Neodiprion lecontei: one gene and its partner. The protein of the gene in region 1 purifies or fractionates together with the protein of each later gene. This does not show direct contact. Links are inferred from orthologs where the notes say so. Each region holds a gene or a part of one and is shown on either strand. Other genes may lie near its edges.

The links. The genes of interacting proteins can lie anywhere in the genome.
Region 2: the proteins of uncharacterized protein LOC107221552 (region 1) and pre-mRNA 3'-end-processing factor FIP1 purify together in Homo sapiens (affinity purification with mass spectrometry; 5 studies listed by BioGRID and IntAct, with this or other methods). This does not show direct contact. The link is inferred for Neodiprion lecontei from reciprocal best matches to the Homo sapiens genes WDR33 and FIP1L1.

What each region holds. Positions count from the first base shown.
Region 1 is NC_060263.1:39,486,126-39,496,485, forward strand, and holds the start of uncharacterized protein LOC107221552, read right to left. Parts: upstream 6,063-10,360; 5' UTR 5,782-6,062; intron 5,170-5,781; 5' UTR 5,026-5,169; coding exon 4,696-5,025; intron 4,531-4,695; coding exon 4,261-4,530; intron 3,769-4,260; coding exon 3,617-3,768; intron 706-3,616; coding exon 608-705; intron 1-607. Other genes in the region: regulator of microtubule dynamics protein 1, read left to right, coding at 8,037-8,083, 8,335-8,526, 8,684-8,875, 9,448-9,680, 9,769-10,007, 10,128-10,360. UniProt on the Homo sapiens protein: Essential for both cleavage and polyadenylation of pre-mRNA 3' ends.
Region 2 is NC_060263.1:23,864,255-23,876,046, forward strand, and holds pre-mRNA 3'-end-processing factor FIP1, read left to right. Parts: upstream 1-3,682; 5' UTR 3,683-3,737; coding exon 3,738-3,908; intron 3,909-4,884; coding exon 4,885-5,802; intron 5,803-6,795; coding exon 6,796-7,124; intron 7,125-7,322; coding exon 7,323-7,443; 3' UTR 7,444-7,772; downstream 7,773-11,792.

The DNA.
Region 1 (10,360 bases):
GATTCAATCCAAGCCTCACGGTATAATACATTTAATATCATCAGTGCAGATTTATTAAACAATATGTCCACTGTTGCAGTTTACTATTAACGGCAAACTTTGCAGTTATAGCACATGGATTCCACATTATGTAAATAAAATTTAACAATCAACTTTTTAAATGCCAATGAATGGTTCTTTCCTTTTTTATTTCTACCAGCAACCCGACCAAATATAGTTATCACCAGTTAATCAATTTGAATTACTATTAATAATTCGTAACTAATCGGTATAGACATTTATATGTCGTAAGATTGGTCTTCCGACATTCTTTTCAAATTGTTTGCAATTTTACCGATATCCGGATTGAACCAGAATAAATAGTCTGAAATTATTTTATTGAAAGATCAAAAAGACGAAAGATTGACTGTTGTAAATCATTTGCCTAGATTTTTGAGTATACTTGAAAATATGGACAATTCAATCAAATGTGACACGTGGAAACAAAGTTTAAAAAAAAAAACAAATACGTTATTAATGATAATTAGCCATTATTGTTTGCAAATAATTATTGTTTTAATTACTCTTTCCAAATTACAAATATATTGTAATATAAAGAAGTTTATACCCCTGAGAATTCGTTCCTCGTGACATCGCAGAAAGTCCCAGATTCTGACGGTTCCGTCATCACTGCAAGTGGCCAGCTTGTGATCCGTAGGACTGAAACTACCCACCCAAAAAAACAAAGTTATACACACCAAATGCATGGTCATATTTATAAAAGAAATTCTTTATTTTTAAATCACATATGTAATGTAACAAACAAACGTTCAATAGTGATATAAAATAACGAAATAACTACCAATACCAAATTATTACCAAGTGAAGAACAAGAATACCCTGACATTTTTTATCATTATAATAAAGTGTAATATACTTGAATGTTAACTTTATTTCAATATTCCAAAAATACAGCATTATTGTCGGTTTATTGTTAATTTTTTTTTTTTTTTTTTCTTATTTTTTCAACCACAGAGCGTAATATTCACTAGTAAACGATTAAATAAATAAAACCTAACAACTTTATTCTGCTAAAAGTTTATGGTACATAACTTCTGGGTTATTGGTGTTTTTGGTTTCTTTATTTGCTCGATTTATCATGTTGTCTTTTCTTTTCCTTTTTTTTTCGAATTCTTTTAGTTCCTAATTCTTTACAGATGATAGTATACTAGAAGCAGGAAGAAGCAAGGGGTATTTAATTCTTTATTGAAATATGCAATTTGACAGAATTTCAACTCCAATCTGGTGAAGATCCCAAATATAGCACAGCTCGAAACGACTTGGAGGCTCGGACAATTGCAGTGAAGCAGTCACGGAGAAGTGATACCCATCAGCGTTGTGTAATTTTAATGTGGAAATGTTTTTTCGTTGCTTTTTTTCACTTTGCATGATAATGTGCAGAATATTATTTGACTAAAATTCCTCCAATCAGGATATTGTACCGAATATCGCTTAATGATAATTGACCAGCATCTCAGATTTTAAACGTCAATAAATAAGATACGATTCGAATGAAAATTTGAAACAAAATATGAAAAAAATAGGTAATAATACAACGAAATTTAGATTCAGATAGAAATAGGAGGAAAAATTATATTATTCAACCAAAGTAGCATCAGAATGTCAGGCTTGTTAAATTTTGGAGTTCATTGCAATAGGAACAATTGTAAATGATAGATTGTTATGTTCAATTTTCTTGCAGTGTCTTAAGTTACTGAAATTATTCCGCAGCGAAATGAATTAATGCAGATATCGGAAATATTCTCAAAAATGGATATTGAATGGAGGAAGTATTAGTAAATATCGCACTGCACGTGGAGAAAAGGTAGGAAATGTGTATGTGGAAGTGTTCTTGACTTAACTTAGAACTTTATTAAGTCACTGTTCTGAAATCTTGTTAATGTATCAGCAGAGTCCAAAATATGGACATGGTATATTTTCTAATAAAAGGATCAACTAGATGTAAATATTGTAAATAAACAAAAAGCCATCTCCGACAGTCATATCTGGCACTCAAAATACACTCTGCAGTTTATGAGCAATAACTGAGCTCAATTTGCACACGTACACAATGTGTTTTCGATGCCACATGACCACCGGAGAATGTACGAAAATTAGGTTTATTTTTTCTCAAATTTAACGTTTATTTCATAAAAAAAAACGATTAATGTGTACAGAATGTTCCTTCATTATTTTATTAATAAATTTTTTTTTCCAAATTTGTCTTTATTTAAGATAATCAGTTTTCTGAAGGACAAGAGCAACACAAAACAAAGGAAGATATATAATGATCATTCTTTATTAATGCAAATATATATGTGATAATATAGTGAAGTATTTATTCATTTATATTGATATTTTTGGATGATGTGAAGGGAGCTAGGATATTTTTCTTTATTATATATTCGATGGGAATCTCGACTGGGTGCTGCTGTATTTTTTCTTTAGTTTTATTATTATCAATATTACCATCTTCTCTTTATTCTACGATACATCTTTGCCCAATATCCTATCCTGTATACAAACTTTATTCCTGACAGCCATAAGGTCCCAATTGCGCTTCTACTTAAATTTCTTCCCGCAATTACACACCGGCATTGAAATATTACAAGACTTTGAAGTAAATGAACATAATTACAGGGATAGACTGGGAATAAAGAAATACGTTTGCAAGATAAAGGAAGCTCGTTTGCGTAAACCTATTTGAACTCTTGAGTGGAAATTTGACCACAAAATTATAGTGTGTAATTAATGTAAAACATCGGTAACTGTTCAGTATATGCAAAACTTCTGAGCCTGAGATAAAAATGGTTGAATATGGTCCATTGCATGCAAAGATAAGATCCCGATGGCTCTCAGAACAGGTAACTATACTGTAAAATCGAGGATCCATTGAACCTATCTATTCAATACATGCTGCGATTTCACCTGTGTTTCGCGTACTGCCCAATAATCTTTTCAAAGCACTACCTACTAGTATGTAACGCAAAATTAATTATACGAACAGATTCAAAGAATTTTTTTTGTAAATCAATCCCTGACCCTGATAAATGTCTCGTTCCTCACAAAGTCATGATTGATACGATTGTTTATTATTCGTAATACTTGGAAGATTCGAATGACGTTTTGAGTTTCATACTGGCCAGATTTTAATATGCTACTGTCACCTCAGTTCAGCTTCGTAGGTGTAAAAAAAAAAAATTCAAAAACGGTTGTTTGTAATCATAAGATATAGCAATCTCGACGCACATACACAAACCAAAGTACTATATTTGATCTAGTTAACACCCTGATTGCCGATACACTGGATCTAAGGTACAAACAAACGGAGACAGCATTAAAAAAAAAATGCTGAATGCTCAGATCATTGATAAGAACAGACCACACTAAAGAAACAAGAAAAACACTTCACCTATGTACCCAAATGAGAAGGTGTAACTTGATCTCAAACGTTTTACTAAATGGAAAATACATCAAAATGAAACCCACGTCCTGTGTCCTGATTGCTACATAAGTTAATCGGCCGTGAAGGACAGTGTCACGATAGATGTAAGGACTAGAGTGGTAGATGCTATACCTGAGTCCTCTAATAGCCTCTTTGTGCGCCTGAAACATCTTGACGTTGTTCATGTTGCTCTGCCAGTACTTAACGTAGCCTGCGTGGTCGCCCGTCACCATCCAGCTTTCGTTGTGGGACCAAACCATTGTACGTACAGGGCTGTCATGAGCCTAAGAAATGGAAGAATGAATGATTATTTTTTAACTGCCCTGTCGGGACATTTTACAAGGTTATTCCATCACATTAGGTTCATTTTTGACTAATTCGACACTCAAGAGGAGATGCTAATATTAAACCATATTTTGCAAATTTTCAATTAGCCACACCAAGTTAGAGATGTGTTGCTTATCTTTGCTTACTGACAGTTTGTTTATTTGACATTTTAAATTCAATTTTCTGAGAATCGTGATATTTGTTGACATGACAAGGAGAATGAAAAACCAAGCCAAGATTTTTTCATAAACGAAAATGACCTCTGAGAACTATATTTGTAACTCAGATACACATGGACATTGAATTAACGAATCTCATAATCTTTTACAGATAAAAAAAATAGCGATTTACGAGAATAGAGGCTGTAACAGATTCATAGAGCAAGAATATTAGGTCCATGTACTAATAGACTATCAAAAAAGTGGTAAATTTTCTTGATATATCCCCACCTGTAGAATAGTCTCAAAGTTAAAAGTAAGCCCATTCCATAATGTGAATTCGCCACTCGATGCACCAGTGACAAGCCTTCTTCCTTCGGGGGTCCAAGCCATGCAAAATATTGGACACCTCATTTTATTCGTTGCTGTTTTGACAAATTTTGTTGTCACTGCGTTGATTGGATTATCAACGTAGCTTGGTGGTGGCAGAAGGTCAGGATAATATATAACGTCAGGCTGAAGAGCTCTTCTGTCTCTGTAGTCTCGCTGCCAAACCCGATTCTGAGTAACAAAAAGATGGAAATTTAATCTACACCTACACGAAGAAGAAAGATGCTAGAGGTATTAGAAGCTTCAAAGGAGCAGCTGAACATTCTGACGAGATAAAAAAAATATGAAATTACAAACAGGAACCAAAGTAATTTGTTTATACGAGTAATTTATTACCTCCAAGGTTTTAATAATAGCAGCATTATAGTCGACCGTCTTTCGCATCACAGATTTCCTGAGTCTCTTTCCATCGAATTCATCTTGTAACGCATCTTGACCACCAGCTATAACTTTCGGGGCATGATAAGGTCGAAATGGTTTGAAAAAACCACGATTTCCATCTCTGTGAGTACCAAATCTGTGCTGATAACCTCCAGTCGTAGTATTTATAGTTGTTAAATTAGGAGGAGGTGCAGATAAATTCGGCGTTGCAATGGGTGGTGGAACCGACATGTTTGGTAAACTTATCACCGGGGGTGGATTGGCGAATTGAGCATTGACAGACATATTGATGGTTTGGAAAATGAAATAATTTAAATAAGTTTATCTAAAACCAAGGTCTCTTCTTCTTAGACTCAGATCCCGAGACATATTATAGAACAAAGTCACGAAATACATTTAACAGTAGTAACGCCATCCTTGCGATAATATCTGAAATAAAATTAAAAAAGTCATAGTTACAAAAATTGTAGGTTCTGCATCGTTGTGAATATCCGTAATTGATGATAAAAATTCGTAGTTGATAATGGATTGTAGAAGAGTGCTGACAAAGCAATAAAATAAGATGCAAGACATACTTTCACAGGAGCAAAACATTTCCTTTTTCATTTATTTTCAACTTCAAATAACAGAGTGAAATAACGAAATAACATGTGTTCAGTAATTGTAGAAACCCGTGTTGCAAACAGTGCCAGCACAGGTGCCTAACACTTGTATTTATGGTAAGAGAAAACTAGAAAGGAAAAAATACATTGGACAAGTGTTGGATATGTGAAAGAATGAGTAAATTGAAGAGGCGAGCGAAACAAACGTTTCGTCCCACAACGAAAATTTTGATGAAAGTGTATGTGCCAACTTTCGAAGCACTAGGGATATGATGACGCAAAAATTGTAGTGGGGATGTGTGGCATCGAATAACCATGTTTGAAGGTTAGTCGGTAATGGTGAAGTAAACTCGTGGCAGAGACGATTACTGTAGTGAATTTAATCGAAGTTTATGTCGGGTCATTGATATACATAATACGGTAAAATAGTGAGACCAACCTGCTGCAGTATCGTCACGATTATATTTGTCGAGGCCTACTCCCAGGTCACCACTTCGACGTACACAAAACACTTCAACGTTCTAAGGCCACAAATTACCAAACACTTTATTTACAATAATACTGCAAATATAGCGCCAAGCGAACACTCCCTGGACAAGCGTCATCAACTTTTTTGAAATCTCAACGCGTATAATACAGACTACGACCGACAGCTTGAGGGAATATTGTGCACGGACGCTAACGACTCCATGATAGGTATATGAAGACTGACGAAGACACTGCTGGACACTGCCTGCCACTTCCGGTTCGAAAATCCGGCGTTCCGCTCGGATACCTAATAATGTTGATTACTGCGACCTCTGTCATGTCAGAGCTGCGCACTGTAGCCGCAATGTATACGTGTTACGATGATGATTGGAACAATTAATACAGATCCTCATATACTTTCAGCGTCGATATCCAACAGGCGTTCGGACAGTTAGCATTATAATTTTCGTTGGCTAAAAACTAAAGCTATACGATATACAATATATCTTTCGGCAACGTAATTCTTGATTAACGCTCGGATTAACGGAAATGGCCGAGATTCGAGTTTTGTTCCACCGGTCCCGTTGTTCGCAATCGACGGATCGTTGGACGCCCAAAATCCGATTTCCGAATTTCATAAGTAAGTAAAATGTAGTCACGAAAACTATGAGCCGATCAACTGTCCAGAAATCGCTTGCTAATGTGTAAATGAGTTTGAAAGTATAACCAAATTTTTTTTTGTAAATCATATGCATCAGTCATTCGATTCATATGACGCGCCAAGAATGATGCTTTTTTGTTTTTCCAGCGACTTTTACGCCTCTATGGGCCGCCGGCGGAAGTGAAAAACAGTTGCGGCACGCTTCTTTCGCAAAGCAGAAACGTTCAACTGCATGTCGAAAAGGGCTTTTTGTGTTTTACAAAAATTGAGCGTTGGATAGATTGTCCTTGGTTTTAAAATAAGAAAGAAAAATGTCAGTTTGATGTGTGGTGCGAGGGGATTCACAACAGTATATACGCGATTCTTAAGACTCGCTGAAAACGCGACTAGTTGTATGTACCATGTAAAGGTGTAATGTGAAAGAGTCGCGTGCTGCAGTGTGCTGCTGGATAATTTTGATTATTATTTAGAAGAAACATGACAAAATTTTTGGCCTGTCTACAGTTATCTTTATTATACAGTTAATTCACCAGTTCCAAAAGTCGGATGAAAACTAACGAGAATCGTACGTTGACGAGTATAGTTGTTTACTTATTTTATACCCGTTTAATTTATCCATTATTCATGCCCAAACCTGCCTGTATTGCCATTGATTGATACGACTTTGCTGAAGAAATAATTCATACTCCCCTTTCGTGAAATTAGCACATGCATTATCACTAGCATTTTTGCCTATACTCGCGAAATGAAACATGCGTATGTAACGTACGCTATAATTGATCTGACCCAGTTCTACAGCTCAATGTTACTTGCCATGTCACTCTTCATAATTTATACTATACAAGACGACGAACAAACAAATTATTTTTTCCAACCCTGGCAAATTATTTCCCATTTTAACAGGGTTACAAACACCGATGTTGCCTGTTAATTAGGATAGCTTACTACGAAATGATTGAGGTATTTCAGTGCTGAAATTGCAAGGACGTATAAACGTGTGTCGAAACAATGTTTATACCGTTATTTCGCAATTTCTACTTAATGACGAAACACTCATAAGTCAAATACCATACTAATGACATGCCAAAATTTTGTGCACTGCATTAAGTTCATTCAATGTTGCACAGGGAACTTTAAACTGAGGACACTACGTTACAGTATCCATTTGAAACACAGAGTAGGTACAGGTAATGTAGTGTTTGACAGTGTTCGCTCTTTTAGTCTGCTGTCTGACAAATTTGATAAGCAAATATTGGTAAATCTTTCATCACTGTACATTCAAAAAGACCGCTCGTTCACTGAAAACATTAGATTCTTTGCTATGAATGCACATTACTTAGCTACACAAATTATTGTGAAATACAAATAACCAATGAGCTGTATATTGAAAAGGTGGAAATTTCCTCTCAAATCTTACGTATGATTGGTTGAATACATTTCCGCTTTGCATTAATGTACCTGTAAGAACTGTACGTAGTGTGAAGAAAAAACACTTGACACACGTTCGAAGTTCAAAGTCTAAATTTCTTCCAAATCTGTTATGTGAACTGCCGTGAGTTCTCTTTATGTATTCCATGAACCAAGAGTCCGTCAGAATGAGAAAAGCTCCCCAGTAATATTGAAACACAATTTAGAACTATATTTTGTGATAATGTACAGTATAACAATAGACAGAAACACCAACAAATATTTCCCACCCAAAATCACATTGAATACTTCAAAGCACGTGATGCGGTTTAAACATACAGATAGAAAAATTGCAATATCATAATTTTGTACAATTATGCCCTTGTATATATCTGCTTTGATTATTTCATAACTTCTTTAATTAATCATACATTTTATGTTTTATCCACAATTTAGCACCATGAGTGATATAAACTCTCCGCGACTGATTGCGACTGCAGTTGCTGCAGCGTTTGGCGTTATTGGGGCTGTGGGTCTGTTCGTGTACCAGAAAATAAGAGAACAACAACAGACCGAAAGAGTCAGACGAGATTTGGATAAAATGGGTGAAACTATGGCCGAACTACAAGCACAGTTGGATCTTTTGAGGTAGGCTCCTTTTAGTTGTAGATATTTCGATAATCACGTTATATCTAGCCCTCTGAAATACGTATAACTAATTTAACGTAACTAACAATAAAATTAAAAAAGTACAGATTGAAAGGTTATTGTCATTACCACTTGTATTTCATACTTGCCTAATTAGATTACAGCAAAATCAACGCAGGAATCGAGAAAGAATATCGCGACGAAAGCCGAATCTTAAAAATAGCAGCACTTATTCTGCAACAGATAATGACACTGACGTAGACGCCTTTTCAACAGCTGACACAGAGTTTGACGATGATGAATTCTTTGATTTCTCCGACATGGAGTCAGGCGATGGAGACAATGAAAGGTCTGTAAATTTAACAACCAAATAATGGATCGTAATCAAACTAATAACTCATATTCCATTTCAATACATAGAATAATAAATCTTCCTGAAAAGGAAGCAAAGTAGAAAGTACAAACTGGACTCCTTACCACAAAGGCAAGTCTTTCCTTTCACAAACAAATCTTTTGCAGTGATAAATGTTATCCGCTAATATTATCACAGCATTTTCAAATGCCAAAAGATTTCGATGGATACTTATATTGATGCACGCTAGTAAAGTAATTTACTATAAATAAATATGTCAATTTTAGTGCCCACTTTGTGTGTGTTTTTATTTTTTTTTAATTAGTTTCATCTGAAATACATGCCGCCGAATGCATTTTGTAATTGTACTTGATATTTTATGATTACTTCAATTTAATTGAACGTTTGATATTTATATTAATTGATGTGTACCAGAGGTAATGAGATACATTATATATTAAAGAAACGTGAAAATGCTTTCTTCGTGGCAAATTTTCACCGAGAACAGATTATATGCCACATGAATTATAGAAAGTTTAGCAGAAGAAAGTATATGTTTAGTAATGCAGGATCTCAGGACCAACAAACGAACTGGACAGAACGCTCGCTGAAACAGACAAACTAATTGAAGCATCGGAACTACGTCCAGGTAGCGAGTGTGAAGAGGCTCTTAGTACACTACGTAATCTACTTGTTAAATATCCAGATAATATTGAAGTTATATGGAGGCTGGCAAGAGCTTGTCACAGATGCTCCACAAATGCTACGGAGACAAGTAAAAAGCTCGCTCTTATCGTCGAAGGTAAGGATTTAAGAAGCAATATTCTCTAGTTTTTTTTCTGAAGTATCCGTGTATTCCAACTCCAAATAAAATTTTTATTACCCCGTAGGTCTCAAGCCTTGCGAAAGATTTGAAGAAGCAGACAGCGCAGACTTTCACAAGTGGTATGCAATATTGATAGGATCACACGGAATGTTTCTTTCTACTAAAGAAAAAATAGAAGGTGGCTACCGCTTCAAAAAACATCTCAACAAAGCATTAGAAATCAGACCAGAAGACCCGGTACTTCATCATTTATCGGGAAGGTTCAAATTTGAAGTTGCTGGCTTAACCTGGATTGAGAGAAAGGTCAGTTTGACTTTATATATTGTCTGTTTCAGTTGATTATTCCAATCTTTAAATTATTGATTGGAAAATTTTTTTATTGTGTCGCCTAAAAATTGCAACTTTTTCATCAATTTTATACAGGTTGCGTCAACATTGTTCGCAGAACCTCCAAGTGCAACTTACGAGGAAGCGATTGTTGATTTTGAACGTGCCGAAGAATTGACGATAAAGCCATTTAAAGATAACAAATTACTTCTCGGTAAATGTTATGTAGCAGTTGGGCGTTATCAAGATGCAATCAGATGGTTCGAAGAAACTAGCAACATTCCGACAGTTAGCGAAGAAGACCGTGTTTCGCAAAATGAGGCCGATCA
Region 2 (11,792 bases), about 16 Mb from region 1:
AGACTCAAGCGGCCAGGCCCTTCGATGGTCAGCCGTTGACTGAAGATATATTCTTCAGTGAACGGGTCGGCTAATAACGCTGCCGTTCTGCGACAGTTGGATGATGAAAAATTTCGCTCGTATCTTTCAAATGTGTGTTAAAATACACTCGAAGTGTTAAGAAGCGTCGTTCTTTCTCTTCCTATCACCTTTCTAGGTCTTTAAACCACTACGCAGCGTTAAATACCGTCTCATATACGAAGCATCCATTTCATCTCGTTCAAAATAAGCGCATCCGTGATGTATTACAGTTACTCTGAATTTTATTCCATCCGAATACTTTTCGAAAAACAATTCTGCTCCTCTACCCAACGCAGATACTTCACTTGCGACCAGCTAAAACAACGTTTCGATTCTATGCCTATGAAAATTCAAGATCGAGAGAGCAAATGAAAAGTTGTTGGAATAATTATGAATACTAATGTTATGGAATACATCGAGCGTGCGCCGAATAGAATCCCATTTCGAAATGAATAATTCTTCTCTTTTCATATCATAGATAATCTGGTAATATAGGTAAATAGGATGGTTGGAGGTGTTCGGAAATGTTAGGAGGTGGTCGGCGCTGGCAGAAGGTGATAGGGGGTGGTCGAAAGTGGCCATTGATGGTCGGAGGTGGCAGGGGGAGGTAGGAGGTGTTCGAAAATGGTAGGACATTTCAAAAGTTAAAGTCGACGATGATCCGATGCATCAATTTTATCGTATATTTGATAAATTATTCCTAAATACATTGAAACATATGTATTTGTAATGAAATATCATGCAATGGGCTGTGTAAACTATAAACTATAATTTCTGTCAAATAGCTGCTTTTATGTCAACAGGGCTTTGAGACTCAGTTCAGTTCGTCCTCCTCCTCGTCCACCTCCGACCACCTCCAACAATCGCCAACCACCTCGAACAACCACCGATAACCACCTCGGGTTGTACCTGGAATAGCAATAAATATTATCAGTATAAGAACACATCAAAAATATTGTGTAAGGATAAATATAATTATTCAATCAATTAATGATATAATAAGATTTATTAGCGTATTTCTATTTACTGAATTTGTGCCTGCGCAAAAATGAATTGAAATAATTTATTGTAAACATGACAAGTTCATAAACTTTCAGATGAAATAGAATCACAATCGCCATTAAATATTATTAAAATATTATACTCACTGTGCAGAATTCCTCTTCCTCCCGTCCGTCTTGTTCTCCTTGTCTTCCTCCTCCGTGTCCTCTCCTTGAAGTCTAGTTTTGCCGGCTGGTCGACCTGGAGCGCAGGAACCACGGAGCGCTTGATCTGGAAGTCGAGTTTCACCAGGTAGCGGGCCTGGAGCATAGAAACTGCGAAGCGCTTGTCCTGGAAGACGAGTTGCACCAGGAAGCGGACCCGCAGCGCAGGATCCAGAAGGTAGAGAACCCGGTACCCGAAATCTGCGGAGCGCGTTTTTCATCCGTCCGCTCTATTGCGCGGTGGTTTCCAGACTGAGGAATTCGGCTAGCTGATTACTCTAGATCGATGACGTCAAGAGAAAAAAAATTTTGTCTGACGTCACTTTCTGAACATCCAAGCATCCAAACTTTGGTTTCGAATTTTAATACTATGCATGATGATGTATGATGTGTGACGTATGATGATATGATATGACGTATAATGATTTTAGTTTTCACATTTCAGACAGAAAATACGCACTTTATCTTTCCTGCCGATTCCAGACTTAAGCGGCTAGGCCCTTCGATGGTCAGCCGTTGACTAAAGATGTATTCTTCCGTTAACGGGTCAGCTATCAACGCCGCCGTTTTTCGACAGTTGGATCATAACACTTTATGCACGTACCTTTCAAATGTATGTTAAAATACACTTGAAGTTGTAAGAAGCTTCGTCCTATCTCTTCCTTGAAAAAAAAAATCACCGACAATCATCCTTTCATGACTTTAAATCAGGACACTGCCTTAAATACTGTCTCATATACGGAGCATCCATTTCATCTCCATCAAATTTAGCGCATCCTTGATGTATCACAGTTACTCTGAATTTTTTTCCATACGAACACTTTTCGAAAAACAATTCTGCTGATCTACCCAACGTAGATACTTCACTTGCGACTAACTAAAACAACGTTGAATGAAAAGTTGTTGCAGTAATTATGAATATCAATGTTATGGAATACGTCGAGCACGTGTCGAATAGAATAATTCTTCTGTTTTTATATTACAGCCGTATAAGTCGCAGTCGACAAGTAGTCTCACGTACTTACTTTGTACCGACCCAATCTCAAGCTTTCATTCCGACACTACTTTGGCTGCTACGAATGTCGTTGCAAGCTCGTTAGGTAGAATCGATAGAGCAGAACCCACATACGCTCTTAGGCCCACCTGGGCCCATTTGCCCCCCGAAAACAGGTCACATAAATTTACTCAAGGGTATCCGTCTTTATGTTCTTCAGTCAACGTGTAGGACTTTTATGCCTCGTATCCGAACATCACAAGTTTTTTTGGTGTAATCTTCGGACGCGACGTTTTGTGGAGATTCAGTTAAGTGACGAATAGTATTAAAATGTATTGAACGTGATTTTGGAAATTCAAAATATAGATTAGATTGCGAGGAATACACTTTTTCTTCTGTTCCGTCGACCCCTTCTTGCTCGGCTCTGAAAATTTATGAAACCTTTACATTTCTGGTAAAAATTCTTTTTCGGAAAGTTGAATGGCGCAGTCGTATGTGATTGGTTGTGTACGAAATAGAAAAATGTTTAATAATTTTCAAGTAAAAATCTAATGCTTTCAAAGCATTAAAAGCCTGCACGATGTTACAGAAGAAATATATGTATAGTGTCTTAGGTATATAATGTATAAGTACAAATATAACAGATATAGAATATAATGCATACATGTATGATCATTGGTTATAGACAACTAGATTGGTCGGATTTCATCCAATGTAAACTTACACCGTAACGTTAACCTATTACAATTTAAATTTATTATTTATCGCGATGGATGTAAAATATTTATTCAGATTCACGTATCCGCTAATATGATCTAAATTTCTAGGGTCTCATATCCTTAGAACATTCAATCCTATTTCCAGTATTTCAAGGCTCCTTTCTCCGCGGGAGACTCACCAGTCTCAAGGGTGGGCCGTAGTTGGTTTCGACGCTGTCGCATGTATCTTGAATTATCAAAGTCCCCGTATCTAAATCGCAAAAAAGGCATAAACGCCCCATTGTACATGAAATTCTGAACAAAACCACCCCAAACACTTTCATTTAATGAAAAAATAAAGAAATGACACAATTTCTACGAATTTACTCTCGCGCATTTGTATGTATTTCTTTTATGACATTTCTTTATTTTTGCATTACTAGGGGCTTCGCTTCTGTGCGCCTCACTATTTCCTTATACAGTGTCTGTTAGACAGGTGAATTTATTTGTGCTGATCTGATGGCAGGTCCGCAACTGTTGATCGGTTGTTTCCTCCAATGCAGCGCCAACCTGATAATACTATTATTATTGGCACATTTTCATCCCTACCATTCCTTCCCCACGTACATCCCTAGATAGCAGCGTCGCGACATGGCTATTTCTAACACTAAAAACTACGGACAGCAAGAGAACCACACCGCTCTGTAGAAAATTGACTTCGTTGCCAGACCTGTATATAAGACCGTGGTACTGACCGTTGCATAGCCGGGGATTGGAAAGATGGCGGATGAAAGCGAGGATCAGTGGTTGTACGGTGATTCGGTAGATGGGAAAGAAGTTTCCTCGGCTCAATCAAGTTTGGAAAACTCAAGAAATGAAGACGCTCCCAACTCATGTCAAGAGTCGTTGGTCTTGGGTGCCCAATTACCTTTTTCTGACGGACCACCAGGAGTAAGCATTTCACCTAACCTATATTTTGACTTATTACATTGCTGTTCATTACTTTGGCCCGTGATGTCGCCAATTAACGTAAATTCAACTAAACTGCTAAATTTCCTGCCATGGCTTCAGTATATCCTTTGTTGAGTCCATTTTTTGACACATCTATTTTTGTAGGTAGTTGGGAACATGTCTGGGTTATAGGTTAGTTGTACTGATTCCTCGCCGTAATCATAGATTTTGATTCATTATCGCATATATTTTACCGTGATATTGCTACCTACGGTGCTTTTCCACTTCCAAAATTCAAAATTCTACAAAACTGATGATATTTTAAGGCAAATCATGAAAACGCCTAAAAGAAGTATTTGTTTCAAGTAATGTACTGTTCTAAAATTAACGTGAAACTTATGGGAAAGTACTCCAAATAATTTGAAAATTAAGAAAAATCTCACAGGATTCTACTTCGGATAATGTTCAAGTGAATCAAGAAAGTTCATTGTTCGATAACATCATTCACAATGAAAGTGAAAGTCAAGAAAAGTTTTTAATTATATCTGTCTTTCAATTATTAAAGCTTATTGTGAATTAAATAAACTGCCAGCTGGTTAATTTAAAATAAATTTGTCAAAATGGTTCATTATGCAATAACAATGTAAAAGGGGATCAACGGATTTCTTCTGAAACCTAGGATGTAACAAGAAAAGAAACGAGTAGCATGGTCGTGGTCCAGTAAGGTCTATTTTCCAAAAGTCCATGGATGAGAAATCAAATTGACCATGATCCCTTTATCCCAATGCTGCGTCATGTTTCATCATTTGTACTTCATGATGAATATTCTATGTTTCCGTGATATTCAAAGAAAGTAAAAGCAACTTAGCCAGCTTATATTCGAAAAGTTGAATCAAGAGAAAATCCCCATTTTTTTTTTATTTTATTCTGTTAATCAGTGCATAGTAATTTACAAATATACTGTACTTGTTTGCAGGTGTCTGAAGACACAGGGCTTCAAGAAAACCATCAAATGGGAGAATTGGAGGCTGAAGTAAGTAATGCGGATAGAGAGAGTAACGAGAATGGAACAAAAGAGATGTCAGGCCAGGAAGATGGAGAAGCAGCAACTGATTCGGATTCAGATGACGATGTGCACGTCGTCATTGGAGACATTAAATCCACTCCGGCGTATAGCAGTCTAAATATAAAGCGCGGTGGAATGCTAACCGCTGCAACCGGTGCCCCAGATAAGTTGAACAAGCAGCCAGGAAAATTCAGCATCGATGAATTTGAAACGATTGGAGTCATCAATGGAATGCCTGCCCACGAATTCAATTTGGATCAGCTTGAAGATAAACCATGGAGGCAGCCTGGAGCAGATATAACAGATTACTTTAATTACGGTTTTAATGAAGAAACATGGCGAGCATATTGTGAAAGGCAAAAACGAATGCGTAGCGAATCTGGGGTTGGGTTGATACTCAACGCTGGAGGAGGAGGAGGCAATAACCCAGGAGGTGGAATCCGGGTGCCGCAAGTAGCAATTACTAACGATAATAGTAAGTATTCAGGGATCATGGGACCCAAGAGGGCAGGTCCACCGCCTGGCCGCAAAATGGCAGGAACTATAGACGTGATTGGAAGCTCTGGATTGGCCTCCAGACGAAACTTAGATAAATCACCACCTAAAGAAAATGTTATTCAAGTAATGACTGCTGATAGAAGGGAATACTCTAGAAAACCTGGTTTTCCTGACATGAGTGTTCCTCCTCCTGGAGCAGGAATGCCACCTCCCTTCGATATGCCTCCGCCAGGATACGCCGGGGAACCACCTCCTTTTTACATTCCGGAAACTGATCCTTATTATCAAAGCTACGAACCTACGCAGGACAGCCAGTGGGGAAATGATCCTGTGAGTAGTTTTTCTTGCTCATGTCGAAATGATATATTACAAAAATTGAATGTTTTTTTTTGTTTAGCAACACTTGCTGAATTGATTCCTTTGTATTAGTTTTCCGATACTAAATACGAATCTGATATCTCTGTTTCAGTTTTCACAAAAACGTTAAATGATATAAATAATTCATTAATACATTCGCATGTGTAATTTTACACAAGCAGAATTTCAAAAAATAATCACCATATATTTATTTGAATTGTTTCAACTATGGAGTTTATCATCAAAAAAATTTAGGAATCATAAATTCAGTAAATGTGATTAGATTGTCTATTCGGTCTAGATAAATAGCTGTGTCACAGAAATTGCCATGTGTAGTTTTGGATTTGAAAAATACAGATATTCAAATGCATAATCCCATTGTATGAGTCTTGCAACAAATGTTTGCAGTATGATATTAAGAATTCGAAATTAGGTATATATTCATGTATTTTTAACAGCTTCTTTGCTGAAACGATAGATAAAGTACATTAATATTTCATAGGTTCGAAATTTTGGTAGTCTTGGCTGTATTCGTTGAAACTATTTTTGGATGATGCTATTTTGACCAAACCAATCATTTTGTGACTTTGCATTTTTGTGAGTAAAAATCTATTAATTACTTTTGATCAAAGAAAAATCACATTCTATCTATATATTGTTCACTTCGATTGAAATAGTGCTCGTACAGTTTCCTTATCTGTTTTAAAAAGATTTTGATGAGTAATACGATGATACCTTATAATAAATACTTGGCAATAGCCATAAGTGGCAACTTTTCGAATTGTGTTATTCACGGTATTTCTCCAAGTTTTTAGTAAAAAGCTGCAATACGAAATGATTTTTCGACAAGTCCTCTTTAAAAAAATCATTTCTTGAAAAATGTTTCCTGTCTAATGTATAATAAAGAAATAGAGTTACATTTTGCTAGCTGTTTTAGTGGATGGTTGAAATTATTTTAAATTTCAGACATGGCAACCAACTAATCTTGCAATTCCATTAACGGAAGGTGAAGAAGACAAAGATGCTGGCCCTAAAACAATTCCTACTATGGTTCCGCCGATAGCAATACCAACTCTTTTACCTCCGAGAGATTCTAGAGAAACGAGAGACAGAGATAGAGATAGGGACAGAGACTCCATGGTGCGAGATAGAGAGAGGGACCGAGAACGTGACAGAGAACGAGAGTCTGTGTCAAGAGATCGGACAAGAGAAAGGGACACGGAGTCTGTCTCGAAGGAGGAAGATAGGGATAGGGACAGGGATAGATCGAGATCTCAACATCGCCACAAAGAAAGGTAATTATTTTACCAGATAGTTTTATTTTCAATCTTTTGTGATTCAGATATTTTTTTTATGCAACATGAAATAAACTTCAACGTCCGCAATGTGGTATTCAGTGTAGATTGTGGATTGCAATATCAAATAATTCAATGTTCCAAATATCGGAAATATTTAAGAAATTTTTAAATACTACAATTATTCATACCTTCCAGGCATAGGCACAGATCAAGATCGCGTTCACGTCGGCACAAATCCAAGTCACGCAGTCCTAGTCGGCGTAAAAAGAAATCCCGTCGATCGGAGCGGGAGCGTTCCAAAGAAGAAAGTGAATAGCCCTGTTGATTTCCAATTAGCTGTATGATTTTATCAATAACACATAATTTGCAAGTGGTTTTTTTTTACTCTTCCATACTGCTTACCGTTTTAATCCATTCTCCTTATCAGTTATTACGGGAAGTACGTGAGTAAGCTGATGTGAAAACCAACGATTTATTATTGTGTATTATACGAGGATATTCTGATAATTTATGTCAGAGTTCAGTCTACATTTTTTTTTGCGCTATAATTTGAATAATTAAAAATATACGAAAATATTCTTGACGCTGAGTTATAGTGAACATTTTGTGAATGAGAGTTACAACAATAAATCTTGATACCACAGAGTGAACTGTACTCTATTTTGTTCTAATTTCCTTCCAAATTTTTTTCATAATGAATGCACATCCAAAATTATAAATCCAGTTCAAGGTAAGTAGTTAAAGTTTATAAAATTGATCACGAGGAACCGTTAAAGCTGAACGTACCTGTTGATACCTCACTGTTTCGAAAGCCGCAGGGTTTCTTTGATTTCTTTGCCTGTAAGAACAATCCACTAACTGCTCTGCTAGAGGAATCCAGCATCTCTGCTGATTGAAAAGCACTGGATACTAGTTCATTCTGGAATTCTAATTAAACACAGTCATTATATGAAGATATTTATATTAAACCCTAATCGAAACTGAGCCTTTTGCTTTGAACTCTAGTAGTTTGATGTACATATTAAGGGGAATGTAAGCATAGTTCATGAAAGTTGCTTTTCATAGGCAAGTGCATGCGAATTTGATTTATACATCTTATATTACTACATCTTACTATGTTAATATTTTCTCATATATACATGTCAAAGATTAGGAAATAAATAATAAAATATACAAAAATACAATCATGTAACTCGGAGCGGTCATTTCACTAATAAAAAATGTGTAGCCTTACTGTTCATCCACTGTTTATACAGAACTGCAATGGAGATTGGACTTGTTTTACAAAAAAAGTAAATGATAATAGCCTTAAGGATAAGAGGTGAAAATTAAAGTCAAAAGATGTGAGTAATTCCCATTCAATGTATGGTTTTATATCATAATGTTATTACAGAAATGGTACTTCATTAATAATTAAGAGTAATTATATTTATCGGTAAATCACTTGCGGTTTAAATCAATGGATCGATCTGTTGTCGAAACAATGTGGATTATCGCACATGCGTCTTTTTCCCAACTACACATTCCATTTCTTTGTTTGTTACTTTTTGCTTCGTTTTTTTTTAAATCTCCAAAACTTCATCATACACAATGGAAAAAAATGTTACATTTGTACAACCATCATATACATGTTACATTTAGATTACCGTTAATTCATTACCATTTTTTAAAATACGCATGTTTACGTGTATGTGTCTGTGTGTGTGTGTGTATGCAAGGTGTTTAGCATGTGTGTAGCTATGAATGAAATGCTGCTAGAATTAAAACAAACTAGCACGACTATACCATGTGTGTTATTGAACTTGAACCGAATTCTAGAAGTGTTTCTATGGATATACAAAATTTATCTCTCAATGAAATATTACTTATTAGGCACTCAGATACTCTAATACCAGATAATTATTAGGAACATTTTTTTCATCTACCCACGACTACAAATATGGGTAGTTGATTCTGGCATAGAATTCTTCTGCTGTTCCAAAAATGTGAATCAAAGTTTAGAAGATTTTAGATAAGCACAAATCAGATGCCAATTCAATTCTTCAATTTAACTATCGATGTACTTCAGAATATTTAAAACGAAATAAGTTCTGTAAACTGATCGCATTGATCTTGTGAATATAATGATACATTAATTTTCAGAAGCTTTTTAAAAATTGGTTTATTCTTTTTCGGTTATTTTGAAGTAAAATATTAAGTGAAATTTAGTATATACATAGTAACGTTCCTTATTCAGATTTTTCAATGTGAACTATCCTGCGTGCAATTAGTTTTGAGCTGAATGGCGAATAGGAGAATAAATAGGATCTAAGATAGGTACTCATTGCGTACAAAAAAGAACTTAACTCAAGCGATGAAACACGACATAATTAATAATTATAACGATTAATTAACTGCATCTACATCGCAATCTGCCTTCGTAGTGCAACAAACGTTATTTAAAACTATGCTGAAGTATTTATAACTTGATTAATGAATTATTTATATCTTCAATAATTATCAGAGGTGATTTTTTAGAATGCTTCCCTGAAGCCCGCAGCACTAAATGACTTTAAAGGGTAACTGATAAGACTGTAACTTCTTGAAGTCTTCCGAGTTAAATGCAGTTGCAACTTTAATGAACAAAATTGAAAAGAAAGAACAAATAATTGAAAGAAAGTTATTCATCACTGAATGCGCCAATGACACAACATGAAAAGTATGCCTAGGCCTTGCTGCTAAGTAACACAGCAAATAATATTGAATAATAATCACAAAATAACTTAAATATGACCAAATCGTAGTAGAAACACTCCAACACTATCCAAGAATGTACAGGAAAAGAATATTTGATTGCATGCCAGTGTTACACTTGAGTATGCACCTTCCGTATTAAGAGTGTTAATAGTTTGTAGAATTGGATATAGAAACATCAGATTCTTAAACTTTTTCCAAATCTGTTTTTTTTCAGGTCTCATGTATTAGAAAATCAACTCGATTATTCTTCTGTATTACTTTGAAAAATTTCATCCAACACTCTTGTCCTCCTGTACACTTCATTCTACCAATTAGTGTCAAAAACAAGAAAATATAAATGAGTGAAAGACCGAAAGATAGGAAACAAAAAAAAAGTAAGACAAACTGAAAAAATGATTACTTAAGGATGGCGTTGTTTAACTTTTTAGCATTTATATCTTGTAAAAACATTAATCTCGCAACGTCTAGTTTCTTTATGCTTTTGGACATTATCTATTTTTGTTGGGTGTTCAAACTTTATGGACCTACCATGTGAGTCAGATAATTAATAGTGGATTTAATGTACTGTTTCTGATTGCTTGTTTTAAAATGTTATGTAATGACATATTTCTACTCACACTACACTGCCTGTTGTAAAAAACATTGTCGAAAATGATTTTTTTTTGTGGCTATTTCATAATCTTTCTACATACTATACACTAATATACAAGTTATTCAATTTTTCATGTATCTGTCCATCCCACTTATCTACTTATTCTTGTCTATTTCAAATATACTGCGTTCAACGACCTTACACTTTTAAATCTTTCCGGTCCGTAATTGTATGCTGCTATAATATCTAACAATTTTTCAAGACGTTTATTTCGTTCCTGTAAGGTCCAACATTTTTCTAAAAGAAATATTAATTCTTTTTGCAGAATGCACATTTGAAACTGAAAAATGGCGGATAACACTTGCAATTAGCAAATATTATGCCGTTGTTAAATTGACGCGTATGTTAGTGCAGTGTAATTTACACATCAACTTACAATTTCGAATGAAATATTATAGAATGTAATTTATTGTAACAGCATACATTAAACCAGTGTACAGTGTTTTTTTAATTACCTCTAAGAATGAGAGTTTTATTTTTGTATTTTATGTATTGAAATATAGTAATTTGGAGAATAGCGCGCTACTGTACATCAGTCTTAACATCAGGGCGCACAATTCCCGTACTTTCAAGATTTAAAGAAACTATGATTTTTTTTTCTCAACTGTGTTCAGCGGCATGGTAGTTTAAACCGGTGGGTGTCTACAAGTGGGAGGTCGCAGATCTGTTATAATACAATTAGCATGTAGTAAAATCATATACAATTGTTACAATGTTTAAATAGTACTTATTTTATATATCAATAGGTTAAAGTTAGATATACATATACAGATATATATATATATATATATATATATATATATATATGTATTTATATATATAATCAATATTTATATGCTACTCAATATTTCAAAGTATTATTTTAAGAGTTCGAAACTCCTTGAAATGAGAACGTCCATTACATTAAAGAGTCAGTAACAAACCATCAATTTTCAGTTTTTTTTTGTCAATCCTGAATCTAGTGCAGTGAAAGAAAAAAAATATGAATACCTTATGCAAAGCGAATCACTATATTCATCGGCAGAAAGTGTTCCACGTTCATTTTCACAACTACACATCCCATTTCAATACAAAAACTGTCATCCTATCTTTCACCACTTTAAGAAAAGCTTTACTGTAAGAACGGGTGAACGTTTTCCGCCCGTATCACGATTACGCATAAGTAAAGAATGAGAGTAAATTTATAATTTTTGAACTTATTACTAATTTAGCTTTAAAAAACTGGTGATTAAGAGAAGCGAATTGTTATGGATGTAATAGAACAGTTTAGCCTGTAA